4 linked regions of the Saccharomyces cerevisiae S288C genome follow. Changing the gene in region 1 together with any one later gene gives a genetic interaction. Each region holds a gene or a part of one and is shown in the gene's direction. Other genes may lie near its edges.

What was found.
Region 2: mutations in HXT9 (region 1) and ATF1 together harm fitness more than expected from each alone (negative genetic interaction), as found in Saccharomyces cerevisiae (one large-scale study listed by BioGRID).
Region 3: mutations in HXT9 (region 1) and SKN1 together harm fitness more than expected from each alone (negative genetic interaction), as found in Saccharomyces cerevisiae (one large-scale study listed by BioGRID).
Region 4: mutations in HXT9 (region 1) and XPT1 together harm fitness more than expected from each alone (negative genetic interaction), as found in Saccharomyces cerevisiae (one large-scale study listed by BioGRID).

Annotation. Positions count from the first base shown.
Region 1 is NC_001142.9:17,510-21,710, forward strand, and holds HXT9 (hexose transporter HXT9), read left to right. Parts: upstream 1-1,987; coding exon 1,988-3,691; downstream 3,692-4,201. Other genes in the region: oligo-1,6-glucosidase IMA4, read right to left, coding at 1-1,027. UniProt on the Saccharomyces cerevisiae protein: Probable glucose transporter.
Region 2 is NC_001147.6:1,044,286-1,048,361, forward strand, and holds ATF1 (alcohol O-acetyltransferase), read left to right. Parts: upstream 1-1,940; coding exon 1,941-3,518; downstream 3,519-4,076. Other genes in the region: YOR376W-A (uncharacterized protein), read left to right, coding at 911-1,066. UniProt on the Saccharomyces cerevisiae protein: Major alcohol O-acetyltransferase that uses acetyl-CoA to synthesize acetate esters from various alcohols, producing ethyl acetate, isoamyl acetate, isobutyl acetate, butyl acetate, hexyl acetate, heptyl acetate and octyl acetate.
Region 3 is NC_001139.9:773,593-778,042, forward strand, and holds SKN1 (beta-glucan synthesis-associated protein SKN1), read left to right. Parts: upstream 1-1,600; coding exon 1,601-3,916; downstream 3,917-4,450. Other genes in the region: BTN2 (Btn2p), read left to right, coding at 1-94. UniProt on the Saccharomyces cerevisiae protein: Required for synthesis of the major beta-glucans of the yeast cell wall.
Region 4 is NC_001142.9:671,406-674,130, forward strand, and holds XPT1 (xanthine phosphoribosyltransferase), read left to right. Parts: upstream 1-1,585; coding exon 1,586-2,215; downstream 2,216-2,725. Other genes in the region: NMD5 (Nmd5p), read left to right, coding at 1-1,263; SGM1 (Sgm1p), read right to left, coding at 2,324-2,725. UniProt on the Saccharomyces cerevisiae protein: May act as a xanthine phosphoribosyltransferase involved in the synthesis of purine nucleotides. Such activity is however unclear in vivo.

The DNA of each region.
Region 1 (4,201 bases):
AACAATCAGTTCCGTTAACGTATCTGAAAAGTTCAGCAAGGGCAACCTTCCAATCCTTTAGTTCATATGGTATCAAATTTTGACGGAACTTGGGCGAAGTCCCGACATCAGTGTGGGAAAAGTTGAATAACTCACTAAGTTCGTGTCTTGACGCACTTGTATACAACCTCTTGGTCTCATCAGTAGCATGTCGCATTTCACCAACTGTCATAATTTCTCTGCCATCCTTCACTCTGTTTCTGATGAACTTGTTCATTTCTTGATGAAACTCATGGATACGTGGTCCGTTCATTGTGAAAGGATCACTGAGTTGCCACTTTGAGTTTTCGTCAATCACAGGAGCGTCTGGTAGACCAGCAACCTTGGAGTACAAGCTTCCCACATCAATTCTAAAGCCGTCTACACCATGGTCTAACCAGTATCCAACGGCACTTTCGTAGATTGCCTTTCTGCAGTCTTCGTTCTCCCAGTTTAGATCAGGTTGGGTGGAGCAAAACAAACGCAAGTAAAACTCTTGTGTCTTTTCATCGAACGTCCATGCAGAACCACCGAAGTAAGACCTCCAATTGTTTGGAGGAATTGGCTTGCCTTCGGCGTCATAACCCTTAGGAGGTCTCCAGAAGAACCAGTCACGTTTTGGATTGGTTTTTGAGGATCTGCTCTCTTTGAACCATTCATGTTCGCTGGAGCAATGGTTGATGACTAAGTCGGTGATAAATTTCATACCAAGCTTATGTGTCTTTTCGATCAAGGCAAAGCAGTCCTCGTTCGTACCGTAGGTTGGCCAGACCTTTTCGTAGTTGGCAATATCGTAACCCATATCATCTTGTGGCGAGTCGTAAAATGGCGAGATCCAAATGGCATCGGTACCAAGCTCTTTGATGTACTCCAACTTGGAGGCAATACCCTTCATATCACCCCAACCATCGTTGTTGGAGTCTTTGAAACTTGCGGGATAAATTTGATAAATTGTGGCCTCTTTCCACCACTTGGGTTCTGTTTCTGGATGTGCAGAAGAAATAGTCATTGTACGTTGCTTTCTTATCTCTATGAAAAAACTTTCACTTTTGTTTGTGTGTTTGGATTGGTGAATGGAACATATATTCTAGTACAGCTAATTCCTCGAGTGAAGAAGTCTTCCTTACTTATATATGTCTGTGGACGTCTTACGAATGATCGAAAATAAGAAAAGAACAAAGTAAATTTAGGATCTGGAAGGAGTGCTGTATGTAAACGAAGCTTTCAGTTTTAGGTAATGTTTGCACAACCTACATGATATAAGATGGTATGTTCTGCAACAGCGTGCCTGTCACTTGGCCCGTTATAGCAGATTATACCATCTGCAAGCAGACCCCATTATTGCATTGCCTCCGCAGCCTTGCGTATACATAGCCCTAAGACAAAATACGGAGCGTAAACAACCCTCGATCCCCGCAACAATTACATAACCATTTCTCCGCGGAATTACATAATCATTTCTCCGGGAAAATTACATAATCATTTCTCCGTGCGAGTTATAAGTGCTTTTCTCGTGCATTTCCCTGACACTTCACAAAACCTTCTTTTTCTTTTTTCTTTATTTCAGGGGAAATCAGTGCAAAACTAAAAAGAAAGAAATTTTGTGAAATGTAAACTCCAGGTGTCAAAAAATAAATTATATCCGTGGAAAATCAGGCGTCGGAAATTGTAGATGAATCCGCCTCCTCCACAATAAAAATGCTGACCACACGAGCAATGCATACACTCGGACACCTTCGTTCAAAGTATCAGTAGCAGTTCGACACACCCTATACTACTTAGCTCTTAAGGTCTAGGCTCATCTTTCTCAGTTCCTCTTTTTCGCTAAATAAAGGTATATAATGTCACAGCTGTGTAACTAAAGAACACTGTTGTTCCTATCTTTTTCTTCTTCTTTTTTTGGTATGAGTTGGAAAAAATAATCATTGCACAATTGAGTACTAAAAGCTTTCGTATCTTACCCAATATCATGTCCGGTGTTAATAATACATCCGCAAATGATTTATCCACTACCGAGTCTAACTCTAACTCAGTAGCAAATGCACCATCTGTAAAAACTGAGCATAATGACTCTAAAAACTCCCTCAACCTGGATGCCACTGAACCACCTATTGACTTACCTCAAAAACCCCTCTCTGCATATACCACCGTCGCAATCCTGTGTTTGATGATTGCATTTGGCGGCTTCATCTTTGGTTGGGATACCGGTACCATTTCTGGTTTTGTTAACCTTTCTGATTTCATCAGAAGGTTCGGTCAAAAAAATGACAAGGGAACCTACTACTTATCGAAAGTAAGAATGGGTTTGATCGTCTCAATATTCAACATTGGCTGCGCCATAGGCGGAATTGTCTTGTCAAAAGTCGGTGATATATATGGTCGTCGTATTGGATTGATTACAGTTACTGCCATTTACGTTGTAGGCATCCTAATCCAAATAACTTCCATAAACAAGTGGTACCAATACTTCATTGGAAGAATTATTTCTGGCCTAGGAGTGGGAGGCATTGCTGTCCTTTCCCCAATGTTGATATCTGAAGTTGCTCCCAAACAAATCAGAGGAACCCTGGTCCAATTGTACCAGCTGATGTGTACGATGGGTATTTTTCTAGGATACTGTACCAATTACGGTACCAAGAACTATCACAACGCCACTCAATGGAGAGTCGGCCTTGGTCTTTGCTTTGCCTGGACTACATTCATGGTTAGTGGAATGATGTTTGTACCAGAATCACCACGTTACCTGATTGAGGTTGGTAAAGATGAGGAAGCGAAACGTTCACTTTCGAAATCCAACAAAGTCTCAGTCGACGATCCAGCCTTGTTAGCAGAATATGACACTATAAAGGCGGGAATCGAACTTGAAAAGCTGGCAGGTAACGCATCATGGTCTGAACTACTCTCCACTAAAACAAAGGTCTTTCAGCGTGTTCTCATGGGAGTGATGATCCAATCGCTGCAGCAATTAACCGGTGATAACTACTTCTTTTACTACGGCACCACCATCTTCAAATCTGTCGGTCTAAAGGACTCCTTTCAGACTTCGATCATTATCGGTGTGGTTAATTTTTTCTCTTCATTCATAGCGGTATACACCATTGAGAGGTTTGGACGCCGTACGTGTCTATTGTGGGGTGCTGCTTCTATGCTATGCTGCTTTGCTGTGTTTGCCTCCGTCGGTGTGACAAAGTTGTGGCCTCAAGGAAGCAGTCACCAAGACATTACTTCTCAGGGCGCCGGTAACTGTATGATTGTGTTTACTATGTTCTTCATTTTTTCGTTCGCCACCACTTGGGCAGGCGGCTGTTACGTTATTGTCTCAGAGACGTTTCCTCTTAGGGTCAAATCAAGAGGAATGGCAATCGCAACAGCTGCAAACTGGATGTGGGGTTTCCTGATTAGTTTCTTTACCCCATTCATTACCGGGGCAATCAACTTTTACTACGGTTATGTATTCTTAGGCTGTCTGGTTTTTGCATACTTTTATGTCTTTTTCTTTGTCCCAGAAACAAAAGGCCTGACGCTGGAGGAGGTGAATACTATGTGGCTGGAAGGTGTGCCAGCATGGAAATCAGCCTCATGGGTGCCACCAGAAAGAAGAACCGCAGATTACGATGCTGACGCCATAGACCATGACGATAGACCAATCTACAAGAGGTTCTTTTCCAGCTAATCTTCCGGTTTTTAGTAACTGGAAAAAAATACATGAACTTAATTATTTATTATATACAATATTTACTTTTTTACGCCTTAATCCTTAACGGACTATTTGTTATGCCTTATAGAACTAGAAATTATATGATAAACATGAGCTACACGAGTTGACAGGGTGAACAGATTACTATAGCATCTTTCTCTCATGAATAATTTTTAAAATGTATAAATTTTGTAACGTTCCGAAGGGTGGAGTGAAATTCCATTCAAGAAACCAAGCATTGAGACAGAACAGTACAGAGTTCAGTTGTTGCGGACCGAGAATTGTAACAAGTAGCCCCAGAAACATTCATATGACGTCTGTTTCAAATTAAGCTTAGTAAAAGTACACATTTACCATAAAAAAATAGTACCAAGTCGGTGGCCTGATATCCTTATTTTCCTTCTGCCAATTGGGCAAGTTGGTACTAATATTTTAGGTGACACTGCCACTTTATTGTTATGGATTGAAATTTCTTAAATGTTCTCA
Region 2 (4,076 bases), on another chromosome or scaffold:
TCCAATCATTAGCCGTTCCTCTAGACATCTACAGATCTATTCCTAATCACAACCTATCTCTAGCCGCAAGATATATCTGTGTGAGAGGGGTCGCAACAGGAATACCTTAAATGGGATAACCGTCACGTGACTCTCACTAGGGGCATCAAGTGCGCTGCTTCTTCAAGGTTTTCGCGCCCTGTTTGAAGAAGTGGCACAGAATCCATAGAGTAATATTACTAACGAGCTACGAAACTTAGCTTACCTATTAAATACTCAAAGAAAATACGCTGTGTATGCTTTTGCGGCACATCTATGTCATTAAATCTCTCCATGGCGCGTATATTTTATGACGGGAAATCTGAGGCCGATCGAGGAGGGAAATTACTAGAAAAGCTTATCCTTCTTTACCTCCGAACAAATTTTAAAATATACCTCAATGGGAATAAAGAATGCAAGGAAAGGCAAGGTTCAGCCTATGATGATGAATATCGTACTCTAAAATTATAGATATCTAACTGTGGGCGTATTAAACCTTGCTTTGGTCATTATCCAATCGTGTATGCAGAGAGCGGGGCGATATGCAGCAAACAAAAGGGGCGAAATAATAGTTACTCCAAAGATGAAATGGCAGAAGAAAATGGAAAACTATACAGTTTGCGAAGGAGGCATCCTCTTAGTTAAAAAAAAATTTGGACTCATTGCACTGCAAACAGAGTTTCTAGGATTGTCATATTTTGTACCTCCTGGAATGTTAAGACTTTCTCATTAATAATGGTGTGATACACTTATAGTTGGGTGCTAAAAGGTAACTGCAAGCCCCACATCTATAATATTACCGTTAAGTTTCCGGCGAATAGTTTCTCTTTTCGCCCCTCTATTTCTCCCTTCAAATGTGAAGATAAGGAGGACAGCCATAAATATTCCTGTAATGACATTCCATCTTGGGTGGACAATTTTATGGTATAATCAAGCGTATTTAGAAGTTTGGGCGACAGTATTTCAAGACGAGATGCATAAGTATTCTCTTCATCCTCAATCCCGCGATGCTAAAACAAAGTTTTGTTGTTGCATTCCATTTAAGTAGAGCAAAAGCGTGGCAAATCTGAAAAATTGCCACATAGGGTGCTAAATTTGGTATAATGGCACAAATAAACAATCTCAGTTTACTGACAGTGAACTACAGGAATATACAATTTTGAGGTGTTAACGACCAACCGTTAATAGCTTATTCTCTCATATGTTATACCACTGTAGGAAGAGGTGGTTTCAACTGTATTTTGAGCACAGGTAGATATAAGCTCTGGACAGTTTTGCTACCCCTTGAAAGAATTCAACAGTATTTTCTGAGGTACTCATCGTAAAAGATTGCTAATTTTGGTCGCGATGTATATAGGTAAAGGAGTATTTCCTAAAAGTTGCCAAAGATTATCAAAATATTACCGTGTTTATAAAATAAACTGACACCCGGATAATTAAGAAGTGGTAAGCTTATGTTAGAGTACTTGTACTTGACAAGTAAAATCAGAATTGGGAATTATCAATTGAGATCACGTGCAAACCGAAGAAATGCAAAGAAGTAAGGTTAGGGTTTATGGACCCAGGCAGCAGAAAATTGTAGCTTCATTTGTTGGCACAGGACTATTCCACCCTTAGAATTGACTTTTTGGACATTGAGCTAAGGTTCAATGCACTCGATGGTCTTCTCACTTCCGAATATATAGATCTAGCGTGTGAGGACTACTCATTGGCTTGCGATTTACGGTTTTTATATTTTTTGCCGCACATCATTTTTTGGCCTGGTATTGTCATCGCGTTGAGCGGACTCTGAATATAATCCTATTGTTTTTTATGGATCTCTGGAAGCGTCTTTTTGAAGCCAACCCAACAAAAATTCGAGACAAGAAAATAAAAAACGGCACTTCATCAGTATCACAAATACCATCAATTTATCAGCTCTCATGAATGAAATCGATGAGAAAAATCAGGCCCCCGTGCAACAAGAATGCCTGAAAGAGATGATTCAGAATGGGCATGCTCGGCGTATGGGATCTGTTGAAGATCTGTATGTTGCTCTCAACAGACAAAACTTATATCGAAACTTCTGCACATATGGAGAATTGAGTGATTACTGTACTAGGGATCAGCTCACATTAGCTTTGAGGGAAATCTGCCTGAAAAATCCAACTCTTTTACATATTGTTCTACCAACAAGATGGCCAAATCATGAAAATTATTATCGCAGTTCCGAATACTATTCACGGCCACATCCAGTGCATGATTATATTTCAGTATTACAAGAATTGAAACTGAGTGGTGTGGTTCTCAATGAACAACCTGAGTACAGTGCAGTAATGAAGCAAATATTAGAAGAATTCAAAAATAGTAAGGGTTCCTATACTGCAAAAATTTTTAAACTTACTACCACTTTGACTATTCCTTACTTTGGACCAACAGGACCGAGTTGGCGGCTAATTTGTCTTCCAGAAGAGCACACAGAAAAGTGGAAAAAATTTATCTTTGTATCTAATCATTGCATGTCTGATGGTCGGTCTTCGATCCACTTTTTTCATGATTTAAGAGACGAATTAAATAATATTAAAACTCCACCAAAAAAATTAGATTACATTTTCAAGTACGAGGAGGATTACCAATTATTGAGGAAACTTCCAGAACCGATCGAAAAGGTGATAGACTTTAGACCACCGTACTTGTTTATTCCGAAGTCACTTCTTTCGGGTTTCATCTACAATCATTTGAGATTTTCTTCAAAAGGTGTCTGTATGAGAATGGATGATGTGGAAAAAACCGATGATGTTGTCACCGAGATCATCAATATTTCACCAACAGAATTTCAAGCGATTAAAGCAAATATTAAATCAAATATCCAAGGTAAGTGTACTATCACTCCGTTTTTACATGTTTGTTGGTTTGTATCTCTTCATAAATGGGGTAAATTTTTCAAACCATTGAACTTCGAATGGCTTACGGATATTTTTATCCCCGCAGATTGCCGCTCACAACTACCAGATGATGATGAAATGAGACAGATGTACAGATATGGCGCTAACGTTGGATTTATTGACTTCACCCCCTGGATAAGCGAATTTGACATGAATGATAACAAAGAAAATTTTTGGCCACTTATTGAGCACTACCATGAAGTAATTTCGGAAGCTTTAAGAAATAAAAAGCATCTCCATGGCTTAGGGTTCAATATACAAGGCTTCGTTCAAAAATATGTGAACATTGACAAGGTAATGTGCGATCGTGCCATCGGGAAAAGACGCGGAGGTACATTGTTAAGCAATGTAGGTCTGTTTAATCAGTTAGAGGAGCCCGATGCCAAATATTCTATATGCGATTTGGCATTTGGCCAATTTCAAGGATCCTGGCACCAAGCATTTTCCTTGGGTGTTTGTTCGACTAATGTAAAGGGGATGAATATTGTTGTTGCTTCAACAAAGAATGTTGTTGGTAGTCAAGAATCTCTCGAAGAGCTTTGCTCCATTTACAAAGCTCTCCTTTTAGGCCCTTAGATCTCACATGATGCTTGACTGATATTATTCGACAATATGATTATGTCGTGTAAATAACCCACTTTCATGTTGTCACTCCCTCGGCTTTGGTTGGTTAAAGGGACTTATCGGTTTCTTTTTTTAGAGTTGATTTAAGATCAGATCGAAGTAAATAACGTGCAGAACATTGCATATGATAGATAACAACCTATAGTATATATTTCAAAATCGCGACAAATCTGAAATATTAATTGATTTGATTAGCTGCAGAGATCTTCTCGATGTAAGGAGCTATTTAAATAGAAAGGGTCAGAATCGTCGTCCTGTGGGAGCTGGTATATACTAAATTGATGAACAACTAAAATAGCACTCTCATTGTCATTTTGGGTGTGAGACCTTAAGCAAGGAGAGATATTTTTAATGGATGTATTAGCGCAGCCGTTGCTTACGGTATTCCTTGGCATATTGTCCCTGAAAAAAAACCGTTGTACACTCGGATACGCATTTTTCGGACTTCTCCCACCCAAGAAACGCAACTTTTGAAGGGCGCCTACACCACTAGACCAACAAGGCCAATGC
Region 3 (4,450 bases), on another chromosome or scaffold:
CCTATTAGAAGACGTTGAGGATGAGGAAGTTGACAGATACAACGAGTCCCTAAGCAGATCTCCCAAGGGAAACTCTATTATTGAGGAGATATAATGGGTGATAATACATACTCCCCATCTTTCATTTTTACGGCATTAAATAACTAATTATATGCATCTTATATACTACTATAATTCACTGACTTTATGAAAGGAATATAAATCGGCACGGCAGAAGGCGGATTTATTTTGTTACAATATAACAAAATAAAAGGGCAACAGTAAAGTAGAAATTATTAGTATCCGTGATTTTAGTACAATTATTTGCTTCCTAGAAATCCGGTTTTCCATGTTAACATTTATGCTAGTATTTTATGGTGGAATGGCAAGTGATTCACAAAATACAAGCTACTTTATCGAATGATTGAAATTCATTTCTGCTTGAATAGAATTCAACTATCGTTTATCGATTCTATTTTGAGGATTCCTATACCCTCGAGGAGAACTTCTAGTATATTCTATATACCTAATATTACTACTGTTATTAACAATGGAATCCCAACAATTATCTCAAAATTCACCAATATCTCAATTCCATCTTTAGAAAAATTAAGTTCAAATTAACGGAAACAGTAATCAAGTAAAAGAGCTTTTTTTTTCTTCTCCCCTTCCTGCCCTGAAGATAATTGAGTAAATGTTACGTTGAGAATGGCTTTTTGATATTTCATTAGATTTACTTCATTATTCTTCTCTATTCTCCCCTTTCATCAATTAATTGGGCGTGTGGCGTAGTCGGTAGCGCGCTCCCTTAGCATGGGAGAGGTCTCCGGTTCGATTCCGGACTCGTCCAAATTTTTTTACTTTTAATGAGGTATACTGGAATATTACGGCTCTTTTTTTTTAGAAACATATTCCTCAAATGGGTAAACGGACCCTGGTGCAAGGTGTGGGTGCTGAGACAAATACGATCTGAGTTGTTTTAAAAAGGAAAACAAATGAATGCGTGCCCAAAGCGGAAAATTGGTCAACATCGATGCGTAATTAGTAGGCCCAGGTGAGCCTGTGCCGAACATGTATCTCTGCGCAGATTACTATATATTCCCGAGCATAACAGCATATAGTTTTCTTTCACATAGGCCTTCCTCCAACTGCCATCACTGTACATAGACGTTTCGGCACTGTATATTCTTGTCCCTTTTTTTTTGCCTACTACATTGCTGCATTCAAACGATATCGCTCTGCGAACCGTTTAAAACTGACCAAAATAGGGAGACCTACCTTCTAAGGAGAAAAAATTCGCATTGCTAAAAAAAAGCTAAAAGAGAAAGAGAAGAAGAATATTAAACCAGTATATTCTACTACAACTATCGATTTACTCCGACTACAAAGTGCCTCTTCGTATTTTCAGTCGCTCGAAAAAACAACCCATATTCCATTTGATTCTACGCAGCTGGTAGAAACTTTTACAGGTTTGATAAAATTATTACAATCGTTAGCGGTTACGCAAGGAATAGGAAATAAAGAAACGGTAAATAATAAGAAAAACACAGCAGATCTAAGCCTATTGCACACAGTATATTATAACCATTACTAGCTAGTGTTACATAAACAATAGCAGAATATGTCTGTGCGAAACCTCACCAATAATCGTCATTCCAACAGCGAAAATAGTGTTTCCGGAAGCGAAAACTCCTTTTATTCCTCGAATGAGCAATCAAGACAAAGCTCATCATTAGAACCTGCAGATGGTCAGAACGTTAGGGTGAGCGGTAATCCTTTCCTTGGAAGTGAAGAATTTGACGAAGATTATAATTCACCCAGTGGAGACGATGAGCGGCGTGGGGCAAATGAATATTCCAGTTCTTCATCCATAAATTATAATAACGATCCTAACAGCGATACTTCTCTTCTGGCTAATGAAAAGAACTCACCCGAGAGAAATGGTCAAAGAATGTCAGACTATAAGGGCTATTATGCTAAGACTAACCTAACTTCTGCTAATAACTTAAACAATCATAATAACAATAATTATAAGAACATTATAAGCAGTAGTAACGATAATAGTTTTGCATCACATTTACAGCCGCCGGACAGAAACTTACCGTCTCATCCTTCTTCAAATAATATGAGTAGCTTTTCTAACAACAGCTTAATTAAGTCTCCACCACCTTTTGACAGATATCCGCTAGTAGGAACGAGGCATATTTCAGCGGCTCAATCTCAGTCGCAGAACCTTATAAATGAAAAGAAAAGAGCGAATATGACTGGCTCATCTTCTTCTGCTCACGACTCTTCATTATCATCCACCAACTTATACATGGGCGAACAGGATTTTTCGCCCTTTGGCGGTTATCCAGCTTCCTTCTTTCCGTTAACGTTGGACGAAAAGGAAGACGATGACTACATTCATAATCCAAATGTCGAGGAAGAAGCAAAGTTAGATAGAAGGAGGTTCGTTGACGACTTCAAACACATGGATAGAAGATCTTTCTTGGGGCTTCTGGGTATTCTATTTTTATTTATGGCTGGTATATTTATTTTCATTGTATTACCTGCAATTACATTTTCCGGGGTAGTTTATCATCATGAACATGTTCATGCGGCAAATTCAGCAGGATCGTCGTCTTCTAATACTACATCCAAGTCATTGACTGAATATCAATATCCTCAACTTGCGGCTATAAGGACAACTTTAGTTGATCCAGACACACCTGACAGTGCGAAGACAAGAGTAGCGAAAGATGGATCTAAATGGCAGCTGGTGTTTTCCGATGAATTTAATGCTGAAGGTAGGACCTTTTACGATGGCGATGACCAGTTTTGGACAGCTCCTGACATCCACTACGACGCTACGAAAGATCTTGAATGGTACTCACCAGATGCCGTTACAACTACAAATGGTACCTTGACGTTGAGAATGGATGCATTCAGAAACCATGACCTTTATTACAGATCTGGTATGGTACAGAGCTGGAACAAACTCTGCTTTACAGAAGGTGCGTTAGAAGTTTCCGCGAACCTCCCTAATTATGGTCGAGTTACAGGATTATGGCCTGGTATGTGGACCATGGGGAACTTGGGCAGACCAGGTTATTTGGCGAGTACTCAAGGTGTTTGGCCTTATTCATATGAAGCATGTGACGCTGGTATAACACCAAACCAAAGTTCCCCAGATGGTATTTCTTACTTGCCGGGACAAAAGTTGAGTGTTTGTACTTGTGATAATGAGGATCATCCAAATCAGGGAGTTGGAAGAGGCGCACCGGAAATAGATATTTTAGAAGGTGAAGCTGATACAATTTTGGGTGTTGGTGTTGCGTCACAATCTCTACAAATTGCTCCATTTGATATATGGTACATGCCCGATTATGACTTCATCGAAGTTTATAATTTCACCACAACAACTATGAATACTTACGCTGGTGGGCCTTTTCAACAAGCTGTCTCAGCAATATCCACTTTAAATGTAACATGGTATGAATTTGGGGAGGAAGCAGGTTATTTTCAAAAGTATGCCATTGAATATCTCAATGATGACGACAACGGATATATTCGTTGGTTTGTGGGAGAGAACCCTACTTTCACACTATATGCTACTTCTTTACATCCTAGTGGTAATATTGACTGGAGGAGAATAAGTAAGGAGCCAATGTCAGCGATTTTAAACTTAGGTATTTCCAACAACTGGGCCTATATCGACTGGCAATATATATTTTTCCCGGTGACAATGTCAATAGATTACGTCCGATTATACCAGCCGAAGGGTTCTACGTCCATTACTTGTGATCCTGAGGACTACCCGACATATGATTATATCCAAAGCCATCTAAATGCATATTATAACGCCAATTTAACTGATTGGGAACAGGCTGGATATACTTTCCCAAAAAATATTCTAACAGGAGGTTGTAGTAGTTCAAAATTCTCATTATCCTGAGGTTGATTTTTTTTTTTCAACTGGTTAAAACCTACTATCTAAGTGCGCTTTAATTCTAAGGAGGCAAAATAGTCTGCGGTCACAGTCGTTGAAAGTTCTAGATTTGGGTACGGAAGCAGCCATGTAAATGGTCTTCCTTTGTAATAATATCATCACTGGAGTTTTTAAATTAGAGTACGGATTCAAGTTAGCGAAAAATTTCTGTTGGTATCTGATAGCAATTTGTCGACAAGGTGGAGAGTTTTTGAAGTTTTTTTTTGTAACAGTTATGTTACACTATTTACCAGAGAAACACCAAGACAGGAGCCCTCAGAAGCTTTCGTGTTGTCAGAACATAAATATCTTCTATATGTTTTAATCTTTTATATTAATCAATATTTTATGTTAAATCATATTATTATTCGTTAATGGTTAACTTGCGCTATTTCAAAATTGGAAGGATAGTGTGGTTACAAGCGGTGTTTTTGATGTATGTTTACTGCTAAGAGTATACCGTCCTGTTTACTTTTTTACCTTTTGTTCCGTTATTGATTT
Region 4 (2,725 bases), 650 kb from region 1:
GATTCCTTCACGAACGTTGATAGCATACCCGATGAATCTGACAAGCAAATGGCGGCGCTAGGTATTTTGTCGACTACGATATCTATTCTGTTGTCTTTTGAGAATTCACCTGAAATTTTAAAAAACTTGGAACAGTCATTTTATCCAGCTGCAGAGTTTATTTTGAAAAACGACATCGAAGATTTCTATCGCGAATGTTGCGAATTTGTAGAGAACTCTACATTCCTACTAAGAGATATCACACCCATCAGCTGGAAAATTTTGGAGCTGATTGGAGAATGTAATAGAAAACCAGATAGTATGGTATCTTATTATTTAAGTGATTTCATGCTAGCCTTAAATAATATCCTCATTTATGGAAGGAACGAATTAAAGAAGAACGAGTTTTACACAAAAATCATATTCGAAATATATCAAAAGGCTGTTACTGCAGAAGATAATTCGTTAGACGATCTTAGAGTGGTTTTTGATTTATCCCAAGAGTTGGTTCTTGCATTAGATGACAGTTTACCTCAACAATACAGAGAGCGCCTACTGGCGGATGTTGTCGGCTCTATTCTAACGCAAAAGAATGAATTGAAAACTAATGTTGTATTTAGTGTGACTGCTTTTAATGTCGTAATCTCAAATATGATAACAGAGCCTTTGATCACGCTTCAGTACCTGAAACAGCAAGGTTGTCTTGAAATCTTCTTTCAAACGTGGATTACAGACTATATTCCGAATTATAAAAGGTGCTATGATATCAAATTATCAGTTCTTGCGTTATTAAAAATTATACTGAAGTTAGAAAGCAACGATTATTCAGTGTTGAACTTAGAAAATTTGGTTCCGCAATTAGGGAGTATTGTTACGCAGTTAGCTTCGAGGCTACCAACGGCGTTAAGGCAATTAGCTAACCAACGCAAGGAATTCTCATCATCCGGTTTTGAAGAGGATACTAAGTGGGATGAAAATTTTCTTGACGTTGGAGACGATGATGAAAATGATGACGAGGGAGACCTTACTGAGAAATATCTGGAACTGATAAAAAATAGAGCCGATTCCTTGGACTTCGTAGATGGTTATGACGCAAAGGAAACTTTCGATGACCTAGAAGAGGACCCATTAACGGGGTCGATCCTGGACACAGTTGACGTATACAAGGTTTTCAAGGAGTCCATTGCGAACTTACAACATGTTGACAGCAATAGATATCAGGGAATCTTGAGACATCTGACCCCGGCTGATCAAGAACTATTCATGGGAATTATGAATGCCTAATTGAATTAAATGGCGATTGTATATTGAAACAAACACTGGATTACATAATTTAGATAGAAGAGAGAGGATATTATGCTCAAAGTTTGTTGCCTTTGCCTCGGCCAGTTGACTTTGATTTGATATCAAGATCTTTTTTTTTTATCTGGAGTCAATGCGATGAACCTAAAAAAATCACAAGCTTTTTTTATCTCTAAGCTGGGGAAAGAATCGTAGTTAAATCGGAAAGAAAAATATCTGAGTTTTGTCAGTCTTTCTTTTGCATAGCCCATCCTTGTACTAGATTTCATAAACATTGATCACTTCAAAATATACTTGTACCAAGATGGCCGAAAATGAGAGAATGTACATCTCCTATAATAATATTCACAAGCTTTGTCAGGGAGTGGCTAAACATATCTTAGCTAGAAACGAAAGACCTGATATTATTATCGCCATCACTGGTGGTGGTATGATCCCCGCAAGAATTATTAGGTCCTTTTTGAAAACTAAAGGACAAAAGAATATTCCGATTCAGGCCATCGGCCTATCTTTGTATGAAGATTTAGGGTTGGATAATAGCGTCGAAACTATCGGCAAAGAGGTCATCAGAACACAATGGCTGGACTTCGGTGCTTTGAACCAACATTTCGATTCCTTAATTGGTAAAAAGGTCCTAATTGTGGATGAAGTTGACGATACTAGAACTACCCTCCACTATGCTGTTTCTGAGCTGGAAAAAGAGATTGCTGAACAACAAAAGGTTTTGAATAGAATGAGTGAGGAAACCGTTATTTCTATCTTTGTTCTACATAATAAGGACAAACCAAAGAGAGCTGGACTACCTGACTCCATGATGAATTCTGGACGTTACATTGCTGCGCAAACTGTCCCTGATAAGTGGTTGTGCTATCCATGGGACGCTGAAGATATCGAAGAACATACCATGCTCGCTAAGGCTCAAGGTCATGACTGATGACAAACAGTATGTTGCGATGGGGTTGCATGTATATAGATACATATAGTTATCATTGGTAATTATTTCATATTTAACCTAAATCTAAAGATAAGAGTGTATTTCTAGTTATCTCATTTTTCCTTGCATTTCTACCATTTGTTGAACTTGTTGATGCATCATCTCTTTTAAATCGGACACATCATTTTCTAATTCCTCCACTTGTTCAGTCTTTTCACCTAATAGTTGTAAGGAGGTTTCCAATTTACTTTGCATCTGCTCAACTCTTTTTAAGAGATCATCTTTCTGTTTATTTACCTCATTGAATTTATCGTTTTCTTCCAGAAGTCTTAAAATCTCATCATTTGCTTTTGTCTTTTCTTTCAGTAAATTATCGTATAATTCCTTTGATGCTGATAATTCACCTTCCAATCTTTTTAACTCCGTACTTAACTTGTTCACCAGATGAGCGCTTATGTGGCCGTTAGAATTCGATAGCTGGACGCTAGCTCTTCTGTATGGTATTGATGT